2 linked regions of the Cricetulus griseus genome follow. The protein of the gene in region 2 interacts with the protein of the main gene of each other region in a pairwise test. Links are inferred from orthologs where the notes say so. Each region holds a gene or a part of one and is shown on either strand. Other genes may lie near its edges.

Evidence for each region.
Region 1: the proteins of Ccdc158 (region 2) and Gpsm1 interact in a two-hybrid assay, tested with the Homo sapiens proteins (2 studies listed by BioGRID and IntAct). The link is inferred for Cricetulus griseus from reciprocal best matches to the Homo sapiens genes CCDC158 and GPSM1.

What each region holds. Positions count from the first base shown.
Region 1 is NC_048599.1:137,705,872-137,711,996, reverse strand, and holds the start of Gpsm1 (G-protein-signaling modulator 1), read right to left. Parts: upstream 4,106-6,125; 5' UTR 3,983-4,105; coding exon 3,915-3,982; intron 1-3,914. UniProt on the Homo sapiens protein: Guanine nucleotide dissociation inhibitor (GDI) which functions as a receptor-independent activator of heterotrimeric G-protein signaling.
Region 2 is NW_023276807.1:157,389,253-157,394,775, forward strand, and holds part of Ccdc158 (coiled-coil domain-containing protein 158), read right to left. Parts: intron 4,769-5,523; coding exon 4,649-4,768; intron 4,107-4,648; coding exon 3,909-4,106; intron 3,701-3,908; coding exon 3,218-3,700; intron 1-3,217.

The DNA.
Region 1 (6,125 bases), on a different chromosome or scaffold from region 2:
AGATTCCACATCTAACCAGGGTGCAGGACCACACAGAGTCTGCAGAGGTTGTTTCCAAGGAAGTTGGGATTCTCCTCTAACTTCTAATTTCCCAGACACCTTCTCAGCCCTGCCAGGATAAAGCTCCCCAAGAATGGAGGGGAGCTACCAATGTCCACCTACGGACAGAGGCCGACGGAGCAGGGCACATTCCAGTGCTTGAGGGCAGTGTACAGGCGGCCTCTCATAGATAGGCCTTTCCCTAGACCACTGCCCCATTTTGGCCTTATCCCAGTGATGACAGAACCACCCCAGAAACCCTCCAGCCAGGCTACATGCCTTTTGGCCATGGAACCCAGAGATGAGAATGAGGGGAGTACAGCTGCAGTCACAGGAGACTGGACAGTGGGGTAATGCTCTCCCTGGGACCACTTGGGGCTCTTAGCAGAGACAGAAACTTCAGAATGAGTGGAGAAGGCTTCCAGGCCCTGGGTAACTCAGTTCTGCTCTGAGGCTCTGCCGACACAGGAGTTCCACTTTTGGAATACCTTGGCCAAGAGTATCAGAGTACAGCCTGGACCCCCCAAGGGGGCTCTCCTGGGCCGCCCTTCCTTCCCATTGACATTCCTGCTTTGCTTTCCACTCTCTCCTGCCCTCGGGGGCCCAGCCAGTCTGACGTGGATGAGCAGAGAAGTAGCTGGAACCTCTGTGCCCCCACATCACCTCTACAGGCCCATAAGGTACTGCTCATCTGTCACCTGTCAAGGTGTCCATAGGCCCCAGGGGCTGCAGCCATTTGAACAAACAGATGCTGGGTTATCTGAGGCCTTTGAAAGACCTGTCCACTCCAAGGGTTACCTGAAATCCTGCCCTCGAGGCTCAAGATCAAACTTATTTGGGGTTTGGAGCTTAGTGCCCCCACTGGTCACAACACCCCAATCCTGGGAGTAAGCAACTTCTTTCTAGGATTTGTCATCTGGCTAGACAGACATTGCTGAACAGGTAAACAGCAATCCTTCACCTCACCAAAGATGATAGCACTGCCTACCCAACTGACCCTCCTCTACACTGAGGTCCCCGACCCAAGCCATGTTATCAATTGAGCCACTTTAAAAGGATCACAGCCTTGTGCTGTTTCACTTAAAAATGCCAAGAACAGCAGACTGCAGCATCCAGGAACCAGGCACTATCGGCATATCCCAGTCTCCGACACAGCAACTGACTCCCTAGGTGCCAGCCACATTCTGCTCATGGCCCTCTGGCCTCCTGATCTCACCTGCCTGTCCCCTTAAGGCTCCTGGTATCCTCTGGTACACCAGCTGGCTCCTTAGAACTCCAGTTCTAGCTCCTGAATCTTTGGCTACCTCCTTCACTGAAGAGCAGTCACCTGGCACTGGTCCCTGGCCAAAGCTTGAGAGACCCTTTCTCACAGCCGTCCCAGCTCCCACCTGTTCAGCATCTCCTAGAGGGAAGTCACACTGACATTCCCTCAACAACAGCTACGGGAAGAGAGAAAGAAAGAAGTAGGAAGGCTGGGAGGGAGCATGGTGGGAGCAGGGAACTCTTGGAGGGGGAGGAATCCAAGGATCAGGTCGCAGGGGATATCTGGGGCTAGGATGGGGAATGGTCCCGTCTGGGAAAAGACACAGAAAGAGGTGGTAGTGGGGGTCCAACACTGCTTGGCCACGCAGCCACAGAGGCCCTGCCCATACTTAGGAATGCCATACCCAGGCACCTGGTGCCCCTTTTGTCAGGCCACCCCAGTGTGTGCTCACCTGCTAACCCTCCATTCCCAGCCTCACTCAGCACTTAGCTACTTGCCTCCTGGAGCTGGGAAGCCAGGAGAGGACTTTCAGACACTTCCTGGCTACTCATTCATCTCTCTGGGATACTCTATCCCAAGCCCCTGTTCTGGCCCCAGTGGATCAGGGATTCTCAACAGAGAACTTCCCTACTCTCCCCTACACCTCTCAGTGCCCCTGCCTTCCTGATCCAGCCCCTCTATACTCCATGAGCAGCTGATAGATCAGGGGCACATCTGTCTGTCCTCTCAGCTCCTTAGCCCCATTTTGTAAGAATCAAACCCTCTCAGTGAGATCGGGGATGCTCCTAGGAAGGTGGATGGTGCAGAGAATGTCTCCCACCAAGACATTCTGGACCAGCCCAGAATAGCCACAGGACTTCTTAGATCAGGTGGATCCAGTTCACCTAGGCATCCATGTACCTGAGCAACCACAGTTCATGGCTCCCATGCCAGTACGCAAGCTTCCCTGGACACCCTGGGAAGGTGTCACGTGGGGACAGGGCATGCTTGGATTTCTTCCTTCTTAGTTCCAGTAACCACAGGTTTCTGAGCCTGATGTAGAGACATTTTTAATTTCTGCTTCACATCTACCCAGCCTATCAAAGCCAAAGATTGGAGGTCCAGGTCTGGCTGTGACCTCTAGGTGGAGACCAAATAACTCAGGGGCCTCCTGGAAGGCTCTGTGGGAAGGTTCTTGGCTGCTCAGCTTAAATCTGGTCCCAGCTCAACCCTCTGAGCTCAGCTTGGGTTTCAGCTTGGATGGGGGCCAGGTTGAGCTCAGGGCCTCAAGCAGTATCCCAAATACTGTCCCTAACCAGTGAGAGATACCCAGAGCCTGAATTCTGCCTAGTGAGTCACCACAGGGGAGAAATGGGAGCAACTGAACAGTTTGGAGACCTGCGCTCTGAATATTCTCCCTCCCTCCCTCCCTCCCTCTCTCCTTCTTACACACACACACACACACACACACACACACACACACACACACACACACACACACACACACGCTGCCTGGCAGACACCTCCTTCTCACAGGTGGCTGGTCCTGAGGTAAACGTGACTCTGCACAGCGTCTACTCCCAGGGGACTCTAGGAAGAAGCTGCCAGCAAACCTCTTACCCCTGCACCATAACCAGGAGGCAGAGTATAGGGCTCCGGCTTTATCTTCAACACCACACAATGGGGACACTGTCTTTGAGCTACAGCAGAGTAGAAGGGGGAAGGGCAAGGTCTCTTCACCAGCCACCAAACCCTCATTTTGATATTTGGGGGTACTGGACAGAGCTTGGCTAGCTGATAAGCCACCTCACTTGGGACATTTTTCTTCAAGGTTGGCCCTTAGCAGGGAGGCCCCATATTTGGGGAAGGCTTAGAAGAGGTGGGAATCAGAAGCTCACAGCAGAGATCTAGGCCTTCTTCTAGGGCTGGCGACAGACTGCAGACCCTGCCCAGCACTCAGGCCCTTCCAGCTCTGCCTGAGAGGCCATAGTGAACTGGCGGCACCGGGTCCACATCTGGAACCAGCACCTCATGGGGAACACTATCATTAGGCCGGAGTCACCAGGGAGGCATGCAACCAGAGGCAGGGCTATCCTGTCATCCCCAGTGGGCGTGGGCACAGAGCACAGACCGCTGGATCACCTGTGAACCTGCCTGGAAGGCAAGTGCCTTTGTAAGCAGGCACACACCCACCCGCCTGGCCCAGGCCCAGGTCCTGCTAGCCTGGGGCTGGGGATAGCTAATGAAGGCAGGGCCCCATCATGACAGCCTGGGTCGTGGCCATGCCACCCCAGCACCGGGTCATGGCAGTCTCAGGCTTGAGAGGAGAACTCCTGGCAACGAACCCTGCCATCCCTGGCTATACAGGGGCCCGCAGAGCTCGGTGGAGGAGTGCCCGCCTCGTAACCCCCTCTGGCACAGGGATGAGGTTGCTGGCAGAACCCAGCCCCCAGCCCCTCTGCCGCGGGGCCGCTCTTTGGGCCCCCGCGTCCCCACCGCTCCCTGCGCAGAGCTAGGGAGGCGCGTCCCCGGCCACGTTGCGCGCCACCGCCGCAGCCTTTGTTCTGGGCCGGCAGGCTCCCGCCCGCGCCCATCGCTCGGGTCCCCGTTTCCATCCCGGTCCTCGAACTACCTGGAGTAGAGGCGCCTGGCGGCCGGGCCCGGGAGCTCGTCGGCCGCGGGCGGGGCTGGGCTCGCCATGAGTCGGGGGACGCGCCGAGCAGGAGCACCGCCCCGCGCTGCGGCCGTCCGCCCGCCGATCTGCCCGCTTGTCCGCGCGTCCGTCCGCCTGTCCGCGCGTCCGCGCGAGGCGCCGAGGAAGTGATGTGCTGGGGTGCCACCGCCCCTCCCGCCCGAGCCGTGATGTCACCGCCGCCAGGCGGAGAGAGGGTGGGGAGGGGCAGGCGCCCACCGGCCACCACTGCGGCGGTCCCGCCTTCCGCGGGGTGGGCGGGGCCCTATCTTTGAGGTCCATGCAGGGAGCGTCCTCGTCTTAGTGAGGGCAATGCTGGGTGACCTTTTCTTTGGCGGAAGACCTGCTAAGCCCCTGGGGTGCCGCCATGCTATTCCCCCCTTTCACACACACACACACACACACACACACACACCACACACACACACACACACACACACACACCACACACACACACACACACACACACACACACACCACACACACACACACACACACACACACACACACACACACACACCTCAAGACACACACACACACACACACACACACACACACTCAAGACACTCTGGCTTGAGGTGTTGAAACCTTTTTGCCTTTGCTGTCACAGACACACACACACACATCCTGTAACCTCAGTGGCTTACAGGTCATGCTGATGCACCCAGGGCTAGGAAGAATACAGGTTTTCCTGGCTTGAGGGAGGGGGATGCATGCTGTGGGGCCCTGGGCAAGTCTCTGCCTTCTTAGGGCTTTCACCACCAGACTTCATGTTGGCAGTACCTGTGAATGCAACCATTTGGAAAGCATACTGGTAGAACACCAGAGGCCCACCTGGAAGCCTGGTACTCCTTCATCTGCCTATCTTCCTCTGAATTCCAAGTACCCTGAGGGTCTGGAGCCCTCAGTCATCTTTTTTCATCCATGCTTGAGTAGCCCTGGAGCCTTCACCCCAGCCAACTGCCAACCAGCCACAGGGCACCCACTGGACACACCAAAGGCCTCAGAACAGCCAGCCCAACTGAGATTCATCTAACTCTCTGCTCCCCTCTCAGCCCAGTCCCAATATTCTTGGAAAAGTAGCTGTGACCCTCAATGGTACAGGGATGAGTCAGGGTGCAGAAAATGGCTATGTCCTTGGCAGTTTTTCTTCATCCCTGGCACCAGGCCTGAAGATGGACACCATGCCAAGGTCACCCTAAACAGACCCTGTAGACTCAGCCCACAGTACAGTGGCTTTGGGCAAAGAAAAAGGGCAACAAAAACAAACATGAGATAAAACGGGTCTGTTGGCCCTGAGCTAGTTTGTTTTCCTAGGAAAGAAGGAGCAGGAGCAATGAGAACCATCTGTGCCTGGGGGGTGAGGAGGCTCAGGCTTGCTGCTGTCCCCACGCCTCCCACTAAGACCACAGGAGCCAGGCCTTGCTCTCACTTGGCTAAGGCAGGGTTGGTGTTGTGGCTGGCCAAGCACCACCCACATTTGCTGGTCTCCAGCCTCGTTGATAGCAGCCAGGGAGGGCTTTGGGCTGCAGGCACTTCTTGGTTGCCCCCAAAGGGCACCATATGCAAGTGGGGGCTGCTGTGGCACTCTCAGTATCAGGCTGGGCTTATCTCCTGGCTTTAGGAGGCCCTTAGAGACATACTGCAGCCATACAATCCCCTGTGGGTACCCAGCTTTGCCAGGGACCAAACCAAGAAGCCCCACTCATATGCCACAGGGTTCTGGAGATGACAGGATGTGTGAACCACAGCATTCTCGCTAAGGACAAATTTCCTTTTTCCTTGAGGCAGGGGTGGGGGATACAGGTTGTGAGGGCCCAGATTTGCAGGGATTCTCTGAAGCAGGCTCTGTGTCAGAAAGACCTGACCTTGAAGACTACCTCTGCCCCTACTGACCAGGAACAAGCTGCTTTCTCTAAATTTCAGTTCTGTCACCTGCAAAGAGACCAACCTGTCCCAGCCTGTGTAGTCCTTATGGTTCCTGGTATACAATGTGCACTTATGGCATCAGAAAACTGTTACAATTGTACTGGACTTGGGGAACTCCTGCAGTCACTTCTGGCATACACTCACCACACAGGCAGGGTAGCTTCTCCCATCAGGGACCTTTTCAGGTAGAATGTGATAAAGGTAAGCATGAAGTAATAGGCC
Region 2 (5,523 bases):
TGAGAAGCTTCTGTAAGGCAAAGGACACAGTCAGTAAGACAAAAAGACAGTCCACAGAATGGGAAAAGATCTTCACCAACCCCACATCTGACAGAGGGCTGATTTCCAAAATATACAAAGAACTCAAGAAGCTAGCCACCAAAACACCAAACAATGAAATTAAAAAGTGGGGTGCAGAACTAAATAGAGAATTCTCAACAGAGGAATCTGAAATGGCTGAAAGACACTTAAGAAAGTGCTCAAAATCCTTGGCCATCAGAGAAATGCAACTCAAAACAACTCTGAGATACCATCTTACTCCTGTCAGAATGGCTAAAATCAAAAACACCAATGACAATCTATGCTGGGGAGGATGTGGAGAAAAAGGAATACTCCTCTATTGCTGGTAGGAGTGCAAACTTGTAAGACCACTCTGGAAATCAGTATGGCGGTTGCTCAGAAAACTGGGAATCTTGAGGATAACCTCAAGATCCAGCAATTCCTCTCTTGGGTATGTATATACCCAAATAATGCACTTTATACAACGAGGACATTTGTTCAACCATGTTCATCGCAGCATTGTTTATAATAGCCAGAACCTGGAAACAACCTAGATGCCCCTCAACTGAAGAATGGATAGAGAAAATGTGGTACATTTACACAATGCAGTACTACTCAGCAGAAAAAAGCAATGGAATCTTGAAATTCTCAGGCAAATGGATAGAACTAGAAGAAACCATCCTGAGTGAGGTAACCCAGTCACAAAAAGACAGGCATTGTATGTACTCACTCATATATGAATTTTAGACATAGAGCAAAAGATTACCAGCCTACAATCCTCTTCACCAAAGAAACTATGAAACATGAAGGACTCTAAGGGATAATTGCATGGACCCCAGGAATGGGAAGGGGCAGGAACTCCTGAGCTAATTGGGAGCATGAGGGTAGGGGAGAGGGAGCTGCCAGAATGAGAGGAGGAGAGGAGAAAATGGAGGAGCAGAAATATTGAGTTGTGGGAAGAATAGAGGACAGCAGGATGAGAGATACCATATTAGAGGGAGCCATTTTAGGTCCAAGGAGAGATCTGGCACTAGGGATATTTCCAGAAACCTACAAGGATGACACAGACAATCCAGGCAATGGTGGAGCGGGTAACCTAAACGCTCTTCCCCTAAACTGAGATTGATGACTACTTTTTTATGCCATCCTAGAACTCTCATCCAGTGGCTGATGGAAGCAGAGGCAGACATCCACAGATATACACTGAACTGAACTCTGGAACTTAGTTGCAGAGAGGGAGGAATGAAGATCGAAGGGGTCGGGACCAGGCTGGTGAAACCCAAGAAACAGCTGGCCTGAACAAGGGGGAACACATCACCCAGATGCTGTCTGGGAGGCCAGTACAGGACTGATCCAGACCCCTGAACATGGATGTCAATAAGGAAGCCTCTGCACTCCAGGGAGCCCCTGGTGGTGGATTAGTATTTTTCCCTGGTGTAAGAAGGGACTTTGAGAGCCCATCCCTCGTGAAGGGATGCACTCTTGCCCTGGACACACGGGGAAGGGCCTGGCCCAGCCCAGGATGATGTGATGGACTTTGCAGAGCCCCCATTGAGGGTCCTACCCTGCCTGGGGAGTGGAGGGTGGATGGGGTTGGGGATAGGTCGGAGTGGGGTAGGAGGGGTGTGGGTGAGGGGAGGGAGAGGGAGAAGGGATTGACATGTGAAACAAGCTTGTTCCTAATTTTGACTAAAAAAAAAAAAAAGGAAAAAAGAAAAAAAGTGGTAAAGAGAAAGAAAAGTGGTAAAGAGAGAGAAGAAAGGAATAATTTACAATTCATTTAGACTCAGGTGTCTATTCCCAGGATCACTTGCCATAACCTGTAATTATTCCTATTCTCTGTTCACACTGCAGTGGGTACTTTTTCATATGCTGGGGACACACAGAGCCAGGACTAAGTGGGCCTGCACATGAGGTCTCTATCTTAGACTTCTCTTGCCTTACCCAGGCCCAAGCCTGGATACCACCCACATAATAGCTTTGTCCTCAAGTCTTCTGTAGTGAAGAGAGAGACAGGGAACCACTATGTGTGACACTATGTGTCACACAAAGGGAAGGAGATGTGGGGGGCGGGGGTGGATGTGATGGAGGGAGGGGTAGATGTGAGGGAGGGCCTTCGACTTGAGACGAGCTGGAGTATAGAGAAGTGTTAACATAGCAGGCCTGCTCCTGTCTGTCAGGTCTGCTCACAAGGCTGGTTCTTGGTTGGCATTTAGGGTCTCTGAAGCCTTAGGAAGTGGAACCTACTTGACGGAAATAGATTACTAGGGTTCGTGTTTGAAGGTCACACCTAGTCTATTCTGCTTGCCCATCTATATAGTGAGTTCCAGAACAGTCATGGTTACATAGTGAGACTCTCTCTCCAAAGAAAAAAGAGAAAAGATTTAGTATTACATGATTCATGTTTGAAATCCCAGCATTTGGCAGAAAGATCATTGCAAGCCTGAGGCCAGGTTGAGCCTCCATAATGGATTCCATAGGACCTGGCTTCCAAAAGAGGAGGGGGAGGAAGAAGGAAGAAGAGGGATGAAGAAGAAGAAGGAAAAAGAAAGAAGGTAGGAGGAGGAAGAGGAGAAGCAAAGAAAAAGAAGGAAGAAGGGAGGAAGAAGGTGGCAACAAAAAATACAAAGATGAATAAGGTGTGTGCCTTGCTTTATGAAGTCACCCATGCAGTCGGGAGACTCAATATTTAAACTCACAGTGTAACACAGAAGTGACAGGTACACAGTTGGGTGGGATAACAGAAGTAGGAAAGAAACTAATTCTTTATATAGCCTAATAAAGTTGTGTTTTTGTTTGCCTGTGTTTTTGTTTCCATAGACACTAAGAGTCAGTGAACAGTCCAATGTTATATAGTTATTATGAGGTGATGGGGGCCAAACTTTGCTCTATGAAGACTACCTCACACTGTGGGCTTGGGGAACATTCAGAGAGAGGGTTCCTTGCTATTTTCCTTTTGTACCCACAATCCTGAACCATTTTGGAGCCACACATTCCTTTTAGAGAGTGGCAGTAGGGATCTTTTCTCAAAGACTTATGATAGCAACTCAGATACTTCCTATTCTAGGAGCCCCATAAACATCAAGAATAATTCCAATTTTTCTCAATATATTAATAGGTTATTGTTGCTTGGAGAACAGAAAATTTGCATGCTAATCCACCCAAACCCCACTCAGACCTTAAACTCCTGCAGTTCCAGCTTCCGGTCATTAATCTCTTTCTCCAGCTGAGCCTTTTCCACCTGCATGGCACCAGCGGTTCGTCCATGCTGGCCAACCAGCTGTGTCATGTTCTCGATCTGCTGCCGCAAGATCTCAATGACCTTGTCCTTTTCTGCCATCTGGAGTTTGAGTGCCTCACACTCCGTCTGCACATTTCTTAGGTGGTCCCCCTCATTCTTGAGATGTTGAAGCTCCTGTAACTTCAAGTCCACCCGTGAGCGGAGCTTAGTGATCTCTGCATTGGTGGCCTCAATGGCTCGTTCTTTCTCCTGGAGGGAAGCTGTCAGGTCAGAAACCGTCCTCTCAGAGCTCTCAAGGGTCATCTTCTTGGCCGTCAACTCTTCCACCACCTTGCGCAGCATCTCCTTGGTGGACTCAAGCTGGGCAGTGAGGGAGGACACTTTCTCCAGGCTCTCATTCTTCCCCTGAATGGCTGCCATCTGTGGTAAAGAAAGTTTTACAACTGGGGGTTTAGGGGGAGGGGAGGGGATGGGCAAGTTAACTCAAAGTGTGAAACCCTGAACTGGATAGTCCAAATAGACTAATTTAAATCATTGTGCCATCAGAACATTAGGGCACAAAGGACATTTTCCCCCATGGAAGACACCTGCCACCCGGCAATGGCACAGCTTGCGTACTTTCCCTCACCTGTCGCTCCATCTGGCCCTGACACTCGCTCTTCATGGCCTTGAGCAGGGCCTCCAGCCGCTGCACCTCCATGTTCCTGTCATCCAGCTCCCGACGAAGGTGGTCGATGGTGATGCTGTTGCCAGTGTCGCGGTCCCACAGGCGCTTGTTCTGCTCCTTCTCCAGACTCAGCTCCTTCTCCCTCTTGTGGAGATCTGCCTAAAAGAAGTGAGGAGCGCTGTTCCTCCCATACACTGTCACACAGCCAAAACAAATCCTTCTATTTGCCTTACATGGTCTTGCTGTTTTTTAATTTGAGAAGTCTTTGGTTAGGGGAAATAAATGCTTTTCAACAGCTGACTAAAATGATTGTTTCCTAGAAAGATACACTAACATTTTGCTTAAACATCTTGGTTTAGGAGTGGCACCTCACACCTGTAATCTCTGCACATGGAAAGTGCATCACTTGTGTTTTGAATGTCATTTTGCTTCCAAATGAACATACCACAACTTGAATTTAGTAGATGGCAGTTCTAATTGAAAGATTATGGCTACTTGAAGACCTTATCTAACATGTAACAGCCACAACTAAGGAAAAAGACACAGATGTCTTATATAAACCACTTGAAGTCCGTAGAATGATATCCGGTGTATATGCACACTATTCAGTAAAACCTGTAATTGTATAATGTGAACTGGCTTGTGTAATGTGCTGAACATCTTCCCTAACCCAAATCTCACACTCTAGAGCAGGAGCTCACCAACAGCTTTTGGAGTTGGTCATCCAGATTCCCTGACTCCTGACTGAACTGGTCCCGCTCTGTGCGCGCCTCGGTGAGTTCTGAATTGGCAAGGACTAGCTGCTTCTCCAGCTCTTCTATCTGGAAGAAAAGCCCAAATCAAACAAATGTAGCCCAGGTTGGTGGTGCCAGAATACAAAGCCTATGAGAGCAGATGATGAGCAGTAGAGGCAAAGCTCATGGGTCATACGTTTACAGTTTTCTAACCTTAACATTTCTGTAGGGTTTAGCACGGGCATCAGTCACAGTGGAGCCCTCGTTACTGTTACTTCTGTCACCGCACACTGTGCTTTGTGTTTTCTCTTCAGAAGTTATCTTCTGGAGAGAGATGCTCTATAATTATGGGAATCTTCTGGTGGCATAAACAATGCACTGTAGACCCCAAACAAATGAACTTCACAATACTGAGATGAGATAGCTTGTTTTAGAATATCTGTCTCAGATGGGCATAGCGATGCACACCTTTAATCCCAGCATTGGTCAGCAGAGGCAGGTGGATCTGTGAGCTTGGGGCCAGCCAGCCTGGTCTACATGGAAGTTCTAGGACAGCCAAGGCTAAACAGTGAGACCATGTCTTGAAAAATCCAAACAAACACCGCCCCCCCCCCCGGCCAAAAAACATCAAAGCCTCAATAAAATACTGAATACAGAAGAATGAGTAATAAAATATCTGTTGTCATATTTCAAAAGAGTGAGTAAATAACTATATTTAAAGTTAAGAAAACAATGTTGGATAATTTAAGCATTCAAAACTAAAATAAACATTCAAAACTAGCTATAAACAGGAATGAGAATCAATTTTAAAGAATATATTTGTCCTTCAGTCAGCACAGCTT